Linked DNA regions of Saccharomyces cerevisiae S288C. Changing the gene in region 1 together with any one later gene gives a genetic interaction. Each region holds a gene or a part of one and is shown in the gene's direction. Other genes may lie near its edges. The genes, in order: ERG25, SSM4, MSC7 and CUE1.

The links.
Region 2: mutations in ERG25 (region 1) and SSM4 together harm fitness more than expected from each alone (negative genetic interaction), as found in Saccharomyces cerevisiae (4 studies listed by BioGRID).
Region 3: mutations in ERG25 (region 1) and MSC7 together harm fitness more than expected from each alone (negative genetic interaction), as found in Saccharomyces cerevisiae (3 studies listed by BioGRID).
Region 4: mutations in ERG25 (region 1) and CUE1 together harm fitness more than expected from each alone (negative genetic interaction), as found in Saccharomyces cerevisiae (4 studies listed by BioGRID).

What each region holds. Positions count from the first base shown.
Region 1 is NC_001139.9:608,602-612,026, forward strand, and holds ERG25 (methylsterol monooxygenase), read left to right. Parts: upstream 1-1,962; coding exon 1,963-2,892; downstream 2,893-3,425. Other genes in the region: septin SPR3, read left to right, coding at 1-500; ADE6 (phosphoribosylformylglycinamidine synthase), read right to left, coding at 3,288-3,425.
Region 2 is NC_001141.2:295,550-301,615, reverse strand, and holds SSM4 (E3 ubiquitin-protein ligase SSM4), read left to right. Parts: upstream 1-1,606; coding exon 1,607-5,566; downstream 5,567-6,066. Other genes in the region: EMA17 (Ema17p), read left to right, coding at 359-787; SUMO protease ULP2, read right to left, coding at 5,879-6,066. UniProt on the Saccharomyces cerevisiae protein: E3 ubiquitin-protein ligase which accepts ubiquitin specifically from endoplasmic reticulum-associated UBC6 and UBC7 E2 ligases, and transfers it to substrates promoting their degradation.
Region 3 is NC_001140.6:184,309-188,328, reverse strand, and holds MSC7 (meiotic recombination directing protein), read left to right. Parts: upstream 1-1,519; coding exon 1,520-3,454; downstream 3,455-4,020. Other genes in the region: BCD1 (Bcd1p), read right to left, coding at 1-405; VMA10 (H(+)-transporting V1 sector ATPase subunit G), read left to right, coding at 650-652, 815-1,156; RRF1 (Rrf1p), read right to left, coding at 3,571-4,020.
Region 4 is NC_001145.3:794,191-796,946, forward strand, and holds CUE1 (Cue1p), read left to right. Parts: upstream 1-1,614; coding exon 1,615-2,226; downstream 2,227-2,756. Other genes in the region: YMR262W (putative endodeoxyribonuclease), read left to right, coding at 1-477; SAP30 (Sap30p), read left to right, coding at 729-1,334; YMR265C (uncharacterized protein), read right to left, coding at 2,350-2,756. UniProt on the Saccharomyces cerevisiae protein: Component of the endoplasmic reticulum-associated protein degradation (ERAD) pathway.

The sequences.
Region 1 (3,425 bases):
TTGTAGAAAGTACCGAGGATTATTATGAAAAATGCAGATCTGAAATGCTAAGAACTAGGCTATTAAAGGCCAGAGATTGCTTAACAACGAAAAGTGTTGACATAACGGAAGAACAAAGGAAATTTTTGGAGGAAGAAATGAACTTCGATGAAATCGAGGAAAACAAACTCAAAAATTACAAGTGCTATGAAATAATTAATAAAACGGTCATGGATAAGGTGGCTACAGAATGGGATCCTGAATTTATAACTAGACAATTAGAAGCTAAGAAAAAATTCAACGAGCTGTCCAACAGAGAAATTTCAAAATTTCGAGACTGGAAAAAGAGCCTATTCATGGAACAAGAGAATTTTAACCAAGAGATTGAACAATTGAATCACAAGTTGGAAAACTTACAACTGGAATGTCAGGACTTGGAATACAAGCTGTTAATCGGAAAAAGTTCCAACAGCCATTCCACAGATAGTGCTACTTTAGTAAACGTTCACATCAAAAGGTAGTATTAATTAAAAAAAAAAAAAAGCCAATAATTTCGCGCAAGCTTTGCTCTACATAATAAAAATACAATTAGGATAGAAATGAATATTTTTTTAGCGGCAGTTTTACCATAAGTAGCAAAACCCTAACAATACAATGTGAGACTAAAGTAAATCCGGGTAATACAAAATACAATTTTTTTTTATTCTTCACAGCGTTTTTTCGACGGAGGAGGGAAAAAAAAAAATTGTATTTAAGGCATCAAATGCGCGACATCATATACCTTTGTCCGCTGTTATCATACCTTGAACCTCTACATTTCAGCCTAGCGCGCGCAAAAAGAAAAAAAAATCATAAGCAAGAGTGGTACGGTAACCACAAGGCAATGCAAAGAAGGGTGCGATATCAAGTGATGTTACCTTCCTTTACTTTTTGCCTTTTTCTTGAATTGTCAATCCGCCCTTTTTTTCTTTTCAGTTTTTTCTCCTTTCATCCGTCTCGTTTATCATAATGATGATTTCACTTATACCTATATGTTTTTTCTGGCATCTCTAATGTTAGGATGTGAAGTTTAAGTACTCTCCATTCAATGAATACAATTTTTGACAATATCTGATTTTACTATGATTAAACAGACCGAGGGAGAAAAAAAAAAGGAACTAAAAAAGGGCCTACGTAGAAGATGATGTAAAAGTAGATTCGCATCTGAGAATGTTTTCTTCAAATTTTTCTTTTCGGCCTTGGCGCAGAAGACTTTCTCTTCGTCCGCGTCGTATAGGAAACAAAAAAGTGTAAAAAGTAAAAATCGGTATATTACGCAATCCATTCGTTACCCGGTGTAGTCACGTGCGGGTGCGGAGGGCAGCCGTTTAAACCCGTTTGGGCCTTGGTCCGATAGAACCATCTCGCAGGAAAGAGCAGAGCCAGTTATCGGGTGTCGTTTACGCCCAGATGTCGTTTAGCCAGCTCCGCAACGGCCACTGCCACTACCACTGCCTCCCTTCGTATACGGGACACAGAGATCGTATACGGTAAACGACTAGCACTAGGACAATAGCAACTAACAATGACCGATAACAGTCAGCAACCTCAAGGCACCTGGCACAAAACCGTCGAGGAAGAGGCCCTTTGCCACCGTATCGCATCGCTTTCCCACCAATTTTTTTTTTCTTGCTTGCCTCGCCTCTGCTGTGGTCGTATTATTATTATTCATTCTCTGCGCAGTTTAAACTATATACACACGATTAATCCGTTATGCATGTACATTTTCTTGTATGCGTACGCCTGTGTATGCATACTTCTATATAATATATAATACAGGAGGATCTATTCTTTTTTTTCTTCTTCTCTTCTTCTCTCCCTTTTTTCTCTCTCTTCGTTTCTTTCCTTCCAGTAAATCTTTATATTAGTTGTAACTTTTTCTCTTTAGATAGTAGCATAGAGGACTAAGGAAAAGTAGTACAGCCATAAAAAAAAGAGGAAAAGATGTCTGCCGTTTTCAACAACGCTACCCTTTCAGGTCTAGTCCAAGCAAGCACCTACTCACAAACTTTGCAAAATGTCGCCCATTACCAACCTCAATTGAATTTCATGGAGAAATACTGGGCCGCATGGTACAGTTACATGAACAATGATGTTTTGGCCACCGGTCTAATGTTCTTTTTATTGCATGAATTTATGTATTTCTTTAGATGTTTGCCATGGTTCATCATCGACCAAATTCCATACTTTAGAAGATGGAAGTTACAACCAACTAAGATTCCAAGTGCTAAGGAACAACTATACTGTTTGAAATCCGTTCTTCTATCTCATTTCTTGGTCGAGGCCATCCCTATCTGGACCTTCCACCCAATGTGTGAAAAATTAGGTATTACTGTCGAAGTTCCATTCCCATCTTTGAAAACAATGGCTCTAGAAATTGGTCTATTCTTCGTCTTGGAAGATACATGGCATTACTGGGCTCACCGTCTATTCCACTACGGTGTCTTCTACAAGTACATTCACAAGCAACATCACAGATACGCTGCTCCATTCGGTCTTTCTGCTGAATATGCTCATCCTGCTGAAACTTTGTCTTTGGGTTTTGGTACCGTTGGTATGCCAATTCTTTACGTCATGTACACTGGTAAATTACACTTGTTCACTCTATGTGTATGGATCACCCTAAGATTATTCCAAGCTGTTGACTCTCATTCTGGTTATGACTTCCCATGGTCTTTGAACAAGATCATGCCATTCTGGGCTGGCGCTGAACACCACGATTTGCATCATCACTACTTTATTGGTAACTACGCTTCCTCTTTCAGATGGTGGGATTACTGTCTAGACACTGAATCTGGTCCAGAAGCTAAGGCCTCCAGAGAAGAAAGAATGAAGAAGAGAGCTGAAAACAATGCTCAAAAGAAGACTAACTAAGAGAAGAAACATACTTCAAAAAAAAAAAAAAGAAAAACAACAAAAAAACGTATAAAATGAAATAAATTTCGAACCGCTTTTTTTCCTTTTTTTTTTTTTTACTTTGTTTGACCTCCCCTAACTCTTTCTTTTTACCTTCACAATTGTTTATTTTAATATATGATTTTTAAATTAATTCAGGTTAATTCTAAAAACTATATTGCAATCTTTTAAATATATGTATACACGTTCATTACCACGTATACATATCCATATATATATATATATATATACATACTATTTATGATAAATTTTTAACAAGCAAACCCATTATTAAATGCTATAAATAAAAGACAGCTTCTTTCTAATTATTATTCAAACTTAAAAACTACATATACAAAAACTACAAAAATCTTTCAACCGACCCATCTTCTGGCAGATCTGAATAATCTAATCCATGGACCGTATCCACCCCACTCTTCGTATTTGCCCTCTGGATACCAGGAATTGGCCTCCAATCTGCAAACTCTTTCAGGATGTGGCATCATGGCAAG
Region 2 (6,066 bases), on another chromosome or scaffold:
AATATCATGAATGCGCAAATAAGCCCTTTTTGCTGCAGCAAACTTTATGTACCAAGATCTTAAAGGGACTCGTTACCAAGATGCGAGTGAGTAGTCTATTATTAGAGAGTAGATCAGCTTCCGCCGCTTCCTTTTTTAACGGGAAAAAAAGTAGAAGCTGGGACAACTTTTTCGCTGCCAATAATAATTAAAAAGAAGGACCCTTTTTTCATTATAGGTATATTTGTTAAATATTTCCATTCCTAAGACAATCAACAACGCAGTTATGCAAACCATCAAAGAGGGCAAATGAACTATTCCCGCTCTTCGTAAGGATGCTGTATTACCGCCGTTAGCCATCAGAATTACTATAAAAACAATGCGGTTAATTTTCATTGCGAAAATGCTTCAATATTCATTTCTACCATTTTCCCCGTTCAATCTTTTGAATTTTGATAATAGTATAAGCGTAAGCTGGTTTATAACATACTCAGTGATCGTTTCCATTTGGGGGTTTGCTGTGTGGATTGAAGGAGCATATAGGAATAAGATTAATCTACAGCTTCCAAGATGTACGAAGATAAAATGCTCCCGCTACAATACGAGAATAAAATCCCCCAAGTGGTTCAACTGTAAAAATTGGATGCATTTTTTCCTATTATACCTTTTTCTAACCGCTTCTAACTTAATTGTTCAATTGGCCTATTTTTCAAAAGAAATGTGTAGTCAGGGTATAAACGTTCCTGGAACGAAGAAACCAGGTAATAGAGTTTATTTATCGGTTATCATACTAATGGGGAACGGGTGATAGAACTTTTACCAATGAAAAGAAATCAGCAGGCCATAATTTGGCTTTATTAAAATTAATAACATTATGGTGCTGTTGCGTTTATTAAAACAGACTAAAGCTGTTGGAATGAAATTCTAATGTTATCTATTTAGTAGTAATAGCATCACATGCGGTGTAAGAGGATGGCGTAAATTATGAGAAGCTGTCATCGAGGTTAGAGGAAGCTGAAATACAAAAATTGATAATGTAATAGGAGAATGAAACATATAAAACGGAATGAGGAATAATCGTAATATTAGTATATAGAAATATAGATTCCATTATGAGGATTCCTAGATCCTCGAGGAGAACTTCTAGTATATTCCGTATACATAATATTATAAGCCTTTATCAACAATGGAACCCCCAACAATTATCTCAAAATTCACCCATATCTTAATTAGTAACATGAATAGTACTAAACAGATGATATTTTAAAGTTTCATTCCAACAAGCATCTTAAATGTGCTATTACTTCCTAAAATAAGTAGTTTTTCCAACGAAATAGCCTTGTTGGCGCAATCGGTAGCGCGTATGACTCTTAATCATAAGGTTAGGGGTTCGAGCCCCCTACAGGGCTATCTTTTTACCATTTTCAATTCAATAGAAAAATTAAATCATTAGAGACGGAAAACTGGTTGAAAACGCATCGATTGAGGACATTGAAAAGATGATTATGACCGATCTATGAAGCCATAAGATTACGTTAAGAATAGTTCTTTGTTACTGATTTCAAAAACTGTTTTTTTAGCCAAGAGTACCACTAATTGAATCAAAGAGACTAGAAGTGTGAAAGTCATGGATGTTGATTCTGACGTTAATGTCTCCAGGTTAAGAGATGAACTGCATAAGGTGGCAAACGAGGAAACAGATACCGCCACTTTCAATGATGATGCGCCATCCGGCGCCACCTGCCGTATTTGTCGTGGAGAAGCTACTGAGGACAATCCTCTTTTCCATCCTTGTAAATGCAGGGGCTCAATTAAATACATGCATGAATCCTGTCTGTTGGAATGGGTAGCTTCAAAAAATATAGACATTTCAAAACCAGGCGCGGATGTTAAATGTGACATCTGTCACTATCCCATTCAATTCAAAACGATATATGCGGAAAACATGCCCGAAAAGATACCTTTTTCTTTACTACTATCCAAGAGCATCTTGACATTTTTCGAAAAAGCTCGTTTGGCTTTAACGATTGGTTTGGCCGCTGTACTATATATTATCGGTGTTCCTTTGGTATGGAACATGTTTGGAAAATTATACACCATGATGCTAGATGGATCATCCCCTTATCCTGGTGATTTCCTAAAGAGTTTGATTTATGGTTATGATCAGTCAGCAACTCCAGAATTAACCACGAGAGCAATTTTTTACCAACTTTTACAAAACCATTCGTTTACGTCTTTACAATTTATTATGATAGTGATACTACATATAGCATTGTACTTTCAATACGATATGATAGTAAGAGAGGATGTTTTCAGTAAAATGGTTTTCCACAAGATAGGTCCAAGATTATCTCCCAAGGACTTGAAATCACGTTTGAAGGAAAGATTCCCCATGATGGATGATAGAATGGTTGAATATTTAGCGAGGGAAATGAGAGCTCATGACGAAAATCGTCAAGAGCAAGGTCATGATAGACTGAACATGCCAGCCGCAGCAGCAGATAATAATAATAATGTTATTAATCCCAGAAACGATAACGTTCCACCTCAGGATCCTAATGACCATCGGAATTTTGAAAACCTTCGCCACGTAGACGAATTAGATCATGATGAGGCTACGGAAGAGCACGAGAACAACGACTCTGACAATAGTTTACCATCAGGTGATGATTCGTCACGAATTTTACCGGGGTCTTCAAGTGACAACGAAGAAGATGAAGAAGCAGAGGGGCAACAGCAACAGCAGCAACCAGAAGAAGAGGCAGATTACCGTGATCATATAGAGCCCAATCCGATTGACATGTGGGCAAATCGTCGTGCGCAAAATGAATTTGATGACCTAATCGCTGCTCAACAGAACGCAATAAACAGGCCCAACGCTCCGGTTTTCATCCCACCACCTGCCCAAAACAGAGCTGGAAATGTCGATCAAGACGAACAAGACTTTGGCGCAGCTGTTGGTGTGCCACCAGCACAGGCTAACCCAGACGATCAAGGACAAGGCCCTCTAGTGATAAATCTCAAATTGAAATTGTTGAATGTCATTGCTTATTTCATAATTGCCGTAGTTTTCACCGCAATATACCTGGCAATTTCCTATTTGTTTCCAACTTTTATTGGGTTCGGTTTGTTGAAAATTTATTTTGGTATATTTAAGGTTATTTTGCGTGGGTTGTGCCATCTTTACTACTTGTCTGGCGCTCATATAGCTTACAATGGGCTGACGAAACTGGTCCCTAAAGTAGATGTCGCGATGAGTTGGATTTCAGACCACTTAATTCATGACATCATTTATCTTTACAACGGCTACACTGAAAACACCATGAAGCACTCAATTTTCATCAGAGCTTTACCTGCTTTAACGACGTATCTAACCTCAGTCAGTATCGTTTGTGCTTCATCCAATCTTGTCTCGAGGGGTTATGGCCGTGAGAACGGAATGAGCAACCCTACTAGAAGGCTGATTTTCCAGATTTTATTTGCACTCAAATGCACTTTCAAGGTGTTCACTTTATTTTTCATCGAATTGGCTGGATTCCCCATTCTAGCTGGTGTAATGCTAGATTTCTCATTATTTTGCCCAATCCTGGCATCCAATAGTCGGATGCTTTGGGTTCCTTCAATATGCGCAATATGGCCTCCATTTTCCCTTTTCGTATACTGGACGATTGGTACTCTCTACATGTATTGGTTTGCCAAATATATCGGAATGATTAGGAAAAATATCATTAGACCAGGTGTTCTATTCTTTATCAGATCTCCAGAAGATCCTAATATTAAGATCTTGCATGATAGTTTAATTCATCCGATGAGTATTCAATTATCAAGGCTTTGCTTATCCATGTTTATTTATGCGATTTTTATTGTCTTAGGTTTTGGCTTCCATACTAGAATTTTTTTCCCATTCATGCTCAAATCGAACTTATTATCCGTTCCTGAAGCTTATAAACCAACATCAATTATTTCATGGAAGTTCAATACAATTTTGCTAACTTTATATTTTACGAAGAGGATCCTGGAGTCTAGCTCTTACGTTAAACCCTTATTGGAAAGGTATTGGAAAACAATTTTTAAGTTATGTTCAAGAAAATTACGTTTATCATCCTTTATCTTAGGTAAAGATACCCCAACAGAGAGAGGCCATATTGTTTACCGCAATTTGTTTTACAAGTACATTGCTGCCAAGAATGCAGAATGGTCAAACCAAGAACTTTTCACTAAACCAAAGACTCTAGAACAAGCAGAAGAATTGTTTGGGCAAGTTCGTGACGTTCATGCTTATTTTGTCCCCGATGGCGTTTTAATGCGTGTTCCTTCTTCTGATATAGTATCCAGAAATTATGTACAAACAATGTTTGTCCCCGTTACAAAGGATGATAAGCTGTTGAAACCATTAGATTTGGAAAGAATTAAAGAGAGAAACAAACGTGCTGCTGGTGAATTTGGTTATTTAGACGAACAAAACACGGAATATGATCAATATTATATCGTTTACGTCCCTCCAGATTTCCGTTTACGCTATATGACATTGCTTGGCCTGGTTTGGTTATTTGCTTCCATTTTAATGCTTGGTGTTACATTTATTAGTCAAGCTTTAATAAACTTTGTTTGTAGTTTCGGCTTTCTTCCAGTCGTAAAGCTATTGTTAGGTGAAAGAAATAAGGTCTATGTTGCATGGAAGGAACTCTCTGACATTAGCTACTCCTATTTGAACATTTATTATGTCTGTGTCGGATCTGTTTGTTTATCCAAGATTGCTAAGGATATTCTTCATTTTACAGAAGGCCAAAACACTCTCGATGAACATGCCGTTGACGAAAACGAAGTAGAGGAAGTGGAACACGATATACCAGAGAGAGATATCAACAATGCCCCTGTTAATAATATCAATAATGTGGAAGAGGGTCAAGGAATTTTCATGGCCATCTTTAACAGTATATTTGATAGTATGTTGGTGAAGTATAACCTGATGGTGTTTATAGCTATCATGATTGCGGTTATTAGAACTATGGTTTCGTGGGTCGTCTTAACCGATGGTATACTAGCCTGTTACAATTATCTCACCATCAGAGTGTTTGGCAATTCTTCATACACTATTGGTAATTCCAAATGGTTTAAATATGACGAGAGTTTGTTATTCGTCGTTTGGATCATTTCGTCAATGGTCAATTTCGGAACCGGATATAAGTCATTGAAACTATTTTTCAGAAACAGAAATACTAGTAAATTGAACTTCTTGAAAACAATGGCTTTGGAACTGTTTAAACAAGGTTTCCTGCACATGGTAATTTACGTCTTGCCGATTATTATTTTATCCTTAGTATTTTTACGTGATGTTTCTACAAAGCAGATTATCGATATTAGCCATGGATCCAGGAGTTTCACTTTATCGCTTAACGAATCATTCCCAACATGGACAAGGATGCAAGATATTTATTTCGGACTACTGATAGCATTAGAGTCATTTACGTTCTTTTTCCAAGCAACTGTGCTGTTCATTCAATGGTTCAAAAGTACTGTACAGAATGTAAAAGACGAGGTTTACACTAAGGGTAGAGCTTTAGAAAATTTACCAGATGAAAGTTAAAGGCGTTTTCTTCCTTACATTTAAAATGAATGCTAGCATATTTACATATATATATCTACATTAAGTTATATGTTTTTCCACTGTTTTATTTCTTATTGTTAGAATTATAGAAAAAAAATTTTTGTAAAACATTTCATTAGAAAAATTTACCATTCTGAATACGAAAGAACAAAATAAAAAATATGCCTATTTATGTGAGTATGTATATTACTAGTTATTTTATTGCTGTTACTATTATTATGCGAGAATGTTAAAAAAATAAAAATAAAGAGGAAAAGAATAAAAAATATAAAACTATGCGTGCGAGTGCTTTCAAGGGTCTTCATCTTCCAAGAGTATAGGATTATCTCTGCCCTCATCCCAAACAGAATCTTGAGACTGGTTATTTTCATCTCCATAATTAGAGAGAAGTTGTGCATTTGATCCCTTGCTTGTCGCGCTGGTTCTTGGAATACCCCTAGTTGGACTACTAAATGCCACATCATCAATATCAACCAACT
Region 3 (4,020 bases), on another chromosome or scaffold:
ACAGTTCACCCCCCTCCTAATTATCCTCTGACACTCCGTGCTATCACGATCATCCTCATCTATATCGTATCTTCTCTTCTTGAAATTAGAGTTGTGGCCGCCCACAGGCCCCAGAACCCGCTTGTTCTTCATTCTAGCATCCATCTTTTGTACATGCACCATTCGCTTCAACTGCGTCAGATAGTTGTAGTCCCTCTGGACATAAGCATTTCGTTCGTGCTTGTCGTCGTCCGCCTGTTTCAACGCCTCACTCGATATATACTCCTTAGGATCATGTGTTTGACCTGAGCAATTGTCCCTTGTCTTGTGCTTCTTGGAACACTCCAAAGAGCAAGTTTGCACCAAACATCTTGGACACTTGTATTTGAACTCTTTTATTCCGCATACACCACACAACACCGCCATACTTGCAAATTGCCACACCCTTCCCTATTAACTGGACTCCTATTCCAGCTCATCTCATCGAATATGAACTTTGACATCCACTATTATTACCGCGAATTTTTTTTTTTTTCAATTTGTTACCCTGCCTTGGGTATCAAAAATTTCATCTCTAAAAGGGAGCGTGATAGATAAAGCAATCACACCTTAAACAATACATTTTTTTTTTTCCTGCAATCTCCAAAGTGTGCAAGGTATACAAAGCAGAATGGTATGTGCCATTACATTACGTGTCAACACTTCTGTCTCTAACAAGCGTTCTTACTAACATGAAAAACTTTTTTAAAACTGTGCTCTCTTGTTGGACTGGTACCTCGTGACAAAGGTATTGGTTTTTTCATTGTTGCTCAGAACTATGTAATATTCTCTTTAGTCCCAAAAAAACGGAATTGCCACCCTACTACAAGCTGAAAAGGAAGCCCACGAAATAGTATCAAAGGCTAGAAAGTACAGACAAGATAAGTTGAAGCAAGCCAAGACTGATGCAGCCAAGGAAATCGACTCATACAAAATTCAAAAAGACAAGGAATTGAAGGAGTTTGAACAAAAGAATGCCGGTGGTGTTGGTGAATTGGAAAAGAAAGCAGAGGCTGGTGTGCAAGGTGAATTAGCTGAGATTAAGAAAATTGCAGAGAAGAAAAAGGATGACGTTGTCAAAATTTTGATCGAGACTGTCATCAAGCCTTCTGCTGAAGTCCATATCAATGCCTTGTAATATTGCATTACATTCTAGTTTTCTAATCATATATCTTTTTATAATATAATACCAATAGAATAAAAATGTATAAACTGACATTGCATTCGGTCTTTACGACTCTCGCTTTATCCATTCAGCCTTTTTTTTTTTTTTTTTTTTTTCTCTATCTGCTAAACGAGTAGTAGTATAATCAAAAATGTGTTATTTAGTATATCGGTTGTAAAGGAGAAAGTATGGTCTCTCTATTTTTATTTTATTAACGAAAAATACTAAACGCCGATGGGGATTACTATATAATTATAATAGTATTTGCAGAATAGTAGAATTCTTTTCACAGTTCACGTTCAGTTTCTCCTCTGTTTTATCGAACGTTTATTCATCATGTCCAAGGTCTATCTGAATTCAGACATGATTAACCATTTGAACTCCACAGTTCAAGCTTACTTTAACTTATGGTTGGAGAAGCAAAACGCAATAATGCGTTCTCAACCCCAAATTATTCAAGATAACCAAAAACTGATAGGCATTACAACGCTAGTTGCCTCAATTTTCACTCTGTATGTTTTGGTCAAGATAATCTCCACCCCAGCAAAGTGTTCCTCGTCCTATAAGCCAGTCAAATTCTCCCTTCCTGCACCAGAGGCCGCTCAAAATAATTGGAAGGGCAAGAGGTCTGTTTCCACTAACATATGGAATCCTGAAGAACCAAACTTTATTCAATGTCATTGTCCCGCCACAGGTCAATATCTAGGTTCTTTTCCATCGAAAACGGAAGCTGACATAGATGAAATGGTTTCTAAGGCAGGCAAAGCTCAATCTACTTGGGGCAATTCTGATTTCTCAAGAAGATTGAGAGTTTTGGCTTCTTTGCATGATTATATTCTAAATAATCAAGATCTTATTGCGAGAGTAGCGTGCAGGGATTCAGGAAAGACAATGTTAGACGCATCGATGGGTGAAATCTTGGTTACTTTAGAAAAAATTCAATGGACTATAAAGCACGGCCAAAGAGCGTTGCAACCTTCGAGACGTCCGGGCCCCACTAATTTTTTCATGAAGTGGTATAAAGGTGCAGAAATCCGTTATGAACCACTGGGTGTGATCAGTTCTATCGTTTCCTGGAACTATCCATTCCATAACTTATTGGGTCCAATTATTGCAGCATTGTTCACAGGGAATGCCATTGTAGTAAAATGTTCAGAACAAGTTGTCTGGTCTTCGGAATTTTTCGTCGAGCTGATCCGCAAATGTTTGGAAGCTTGTGATGAAGATCCAGATTTGGTTCAGTTGTGCTATTGTTTACCTCCAACTGAAAATGATGATTCCGCAAATTATTTCACCTCTCATCCTGGTTTCAAACATATCACTTTTATTGGCAGTCAGCCCGTAGCGCACTATATTCTAAAATGCGCTGCCAAATCATTGACACCCGTAGTTGTGGAGCTTGGTGGTAAGGATGCGTTTATTGTCCTAGACTCAGCTAAGAATTTAGATGCTTTATCTTCTATCATCATGAGGGGTACTTTCCAATCATCCGGTCAAAATTGTATTGGTATTGAGAGGGTTATTGTCAGTAAGGAAAATTATGATGATTTAGTCAAGATTTTGAATGACCGTATGACTGCAAATCCACTACGCCAAGGGTCTGATATTGATCATTTAGAAAATGTTGATATGGGGGCAATGATATCTGACAACAGATTCGATGAACTAGAAGCTTTGGTTAAAGATGCTGTTGCAAAGGGAGCTCGTTTACTTCAAGGTGGTTCCCGCTTCAAACATCCAAAGTATCCACAAGGTCATTATTTCCAACCAACTCTTTTGGTGGATGTCACTCCAGAAATGAAAATAGCACAAAACGAAGTGTTTGGCCCAATTTTAGTCATGATGAAAGCTAAGAATACTGACCATTGTGTACAACTAGCCAACTCTGCGCCATTTGGTCTAGGTGGTTCTGTGTTTGGTGCGGATATCAAGGAATGCAATTACGTCGCAAATAGCCTACAAACTGGTAATGTAGCCATTAATGATTTTGCTACATTCTATGTTTGTCAATTACCATTTGGTGGTATCAATGGTTCAGGTTACGGTAAATTTGGTGGTGAAGAAGGTCTTTTGGGTTTGTGCAATGCCAAAAGTGTCTGTTTTGATACTTTGCCTTTTGTCTCCACTCAAATTCCAAAACCATTAGACTACCCTATTCGTAACAATGCTAAGGCTTGGAATTTTGTAAAGAGTTTCATCGTAGGAGCTTATACAAATTCCACATGGCAAAGAATAAAGTCACTGTTCTCTTTAGCTAAAGAAGCCAGCTAGTTTACTTTAGAGGAAGCAACAAACTTATCAATAATTTGGTATTTATTATTATATAAAATGAACTTTTTATGTACAAGATTTATGATTTTTTGATTCTATACACGTTACGAAATTCCTCATTTTACAATGCTTTTTTCAACTTTCTGGAATTGGTCATGAAGCTTGTTCACGTAATCCTTATGCAGTTTTTCCAAATCCCTCTCAGCTTTTCGAACGGCATCATCCTTTTTGAAACTTTTGAATTCCTTTAGAATACTGCCTCTGATAGTTCCTAATGAGTCTTTTAGCGATGACTGCTTATATTCTTCAAATACTCTCTTTAAGTCTTTAGCTACTTTTAACCGGGATTCTGTAGTTGGTGGTGGTAACGAAACTTTCAATTGCAAATCGTTATTTGGGACCCTTTCAGGAGTTAAATTCAGGTTCGCAGCAAGCACCCCACTGATCACAGTTTTCACATCTTTGGGGTCGAAAACTGTTATTAAAAGTGCATTTTTACCTTTCAAGGATGTGGTAGCAATATCTGTAAACTTTCTGTTATTTTTGAACACTAAACTATTGAATAC
Region 4 (2,756 bases), on another chromosome or scaffold:
CTATCGCATCAAGAAACAGTATTCAGGCGATTTTGCCGACTGGCAAGGCACACAAGCAAGCCCATCTCTATACACGATGTAAAGTGCCACGGGAAACTAAACGATATCTGCAATGAAGAGCTCTTGACGTATCACTCTGTCAAGATATGTTTACATTCGTACACAGGCTCCAAGGAAACGCTTCTGGGCCAATGGCTCAAGAAGTTTCCCCCGGATCGTATTTTTGTGAGCCTATCCAAATGGATTAATTTTAAGGACCCAGAAGAGGGAGATGCCCTGGTCAGGAGCTTGCCCTCAACTTGCATACTTACTGAAACCGACTATCCTATTGACAATCCAGATCCGTCATACCAAAAGGCCCTTACAGAGCAGCTGCAGTATTTGAATGCACAAATCGCACGAGCATGGGACGAGACACTGGATGCCTCACAAGCCGCTTTGCGTGTATACGAAAACTTTCAGAAATTTATCAAGTGAAACGCTTTTGAGGTGGCAGCATAGCACTGTAATGAGATATATTAAGTAGGCTTGCTGTATACCATTTCTTGCTATGCATGTGTTTTAGCAAGGCAACGCCGTTCCGGAAGGGAAAAAGCGCTCTTTTTTATATACTGTGAAATTTTCAGATTTTAACTTAGAAATTATATAAAAGCGGTTGTGTATCTATTGTGATAATGCAATTCCTTTATAGTTTAGCAAATCGAAGGATAGGTATATACTGAGTAGTAATGGCTAGGCCAGTTAATACAAACGCTGAAACGGAATCGAGAGGCAGACCCACTCAGGGTGGTGGTTACGCAAGTAACAACAATGGCAGCTGTAACAACAACAATGGCAGCAATAATAACAATAATAACAATAATAATAATAATAATAACAGCAATAACAGCAATAACAATAACGGGCCTACCTCCAGCGGGAGAACCAATGGGAAGCAAAGACTCACAGCTGCACAACAGCAGTACATTAAGAATCTCATAGAGACACATATCACCGACAACCACCCTGATCTGCGCCCCAAGAGTCACCCAATGGATTTCGAAGAGTATACGGATGCGTTCCTGAGAAGGTATAAAGACCACTTTCAATTGGACGTACCGGACAACCTGACGCTGCAGGGATACTTATTGGGTTCCAAATTGGGCGCGAAGACTTATTCATACAAGAGGAACACACAGGGGCAGCACGATAAAAGGATACATAAGAGAGACCTGGCCAACGTGGTGAGAAGGCATTTCGATGAGCATTCCATTAAAGAGACAGATTGCATACCGCAATTTATATACAAGGTAAAAAACCAGAAGAAGAAATTCAAGATGGAATTTCGGGGTTGATCAAACGATGAGGCAGCCCTTTTGTGTATAAGTTATGTAAACTTTTAAGGTGGTAATTGTTAAAATGGACAGTAACACTTGTTTATTTGCTAGTATTCCATTTAGTTTAATGCCTTTTTGTATACGGTGCGGGTAGCTGTCGCGCCATTTTAAACGATCTAATATAACTGAGGTGGGCCTGTCATTGATGCATTGAATAGACAACTCATCAACCTATTTCTTATAAAAGGCGCCATAAAGCATTACAATCTACGATCGCGCAAACTTTTTTCTTTTGGCCATGGAGGATTCGAGATTGCTTATCACTTTGATTCTTGTGTTTGGAGTTATATTTCTGAAAAAATTCTTCCAAAGTAATCAGCATCCCTCAGCACAACGCTTATCCGCTACAGGTGTAAACGCACACGGACGTCCTCAGGGCTCCACGCAGAATGCCTTGAGAAGGACTGGTAGAGTCAATGGAGGTCACCCCGTGACTACTCAGATGGTGGAAACAGTGCAAAATCTAGCCCCTAACTTACATCCTGAGCAAATTAGGTATAGTTTGGAAAACACAGGCTCAGTCGAGGAAACAGTGGAAAGGTACTTGCGTGGTGATGAATTCAGCTTTCCACCTGGGTTTGAGCCCTCCAGGGCGCCAATGGGGGCCAATGCGGCTGTTGATAATAACGCTGCTGGTGGCGGAGAGTTTAACGATCCCAGAAAGAAGAACATGATTTGCGCTGAGAATCTACTCGATAAATTCCATGTGGATCTCAATGAAGATATGAGTAACTTAAGCTTTAAGGACTTAGACATTGAAGAGAGAAAGAGATTGTTGGTTTGGCAAGCCAGAAAGAATTTGGAGACAAAATTGCAAAGTGATAAAGATTTGCAAAGTTTGCTGACTTGAACGCTTAAGTGCTTGTCGGGAACACGCAAGTGTGCCCATAATGCGCATAAGTATATCTTTGTGTTTACTTATTTAAAATGACTAAATAAATAACCCAAAAAAAGGAAGAAAAAAATGTAATTATTAAGCATTGGAACACGGTATTGCTGCCAACTTGGCAAATCGCCCGAAAAATGCCTTTATTGGTATTGTATTGTCTAACGGAACCCAGTGAATATCTTCCTTGCAGTTTATTAGACGCTCTGTTACCACTTCTAAATCTTCAATTCGGTCTCTTTTGTAAAAATGACCAGTGACTATATATTCTGGAAAGAGAGTGAAAGTGTATCTGTTTGGTTCGGGTGTGGCTTTGAAATAAACCTCCAATGGCTTTCTTCTGTTGTGGTGGGCCGACGCGATGACGGCAAGGTCTGTGACTTGGAAGTGTACGATGCACTTCCCAGGCTGTTCCAGATAAAAAATTTGTGAAATATGCTGTACTTTCTTCTCAGAATCAAACGTGCGAGTGTCATTGTTTGACCATACCTTAG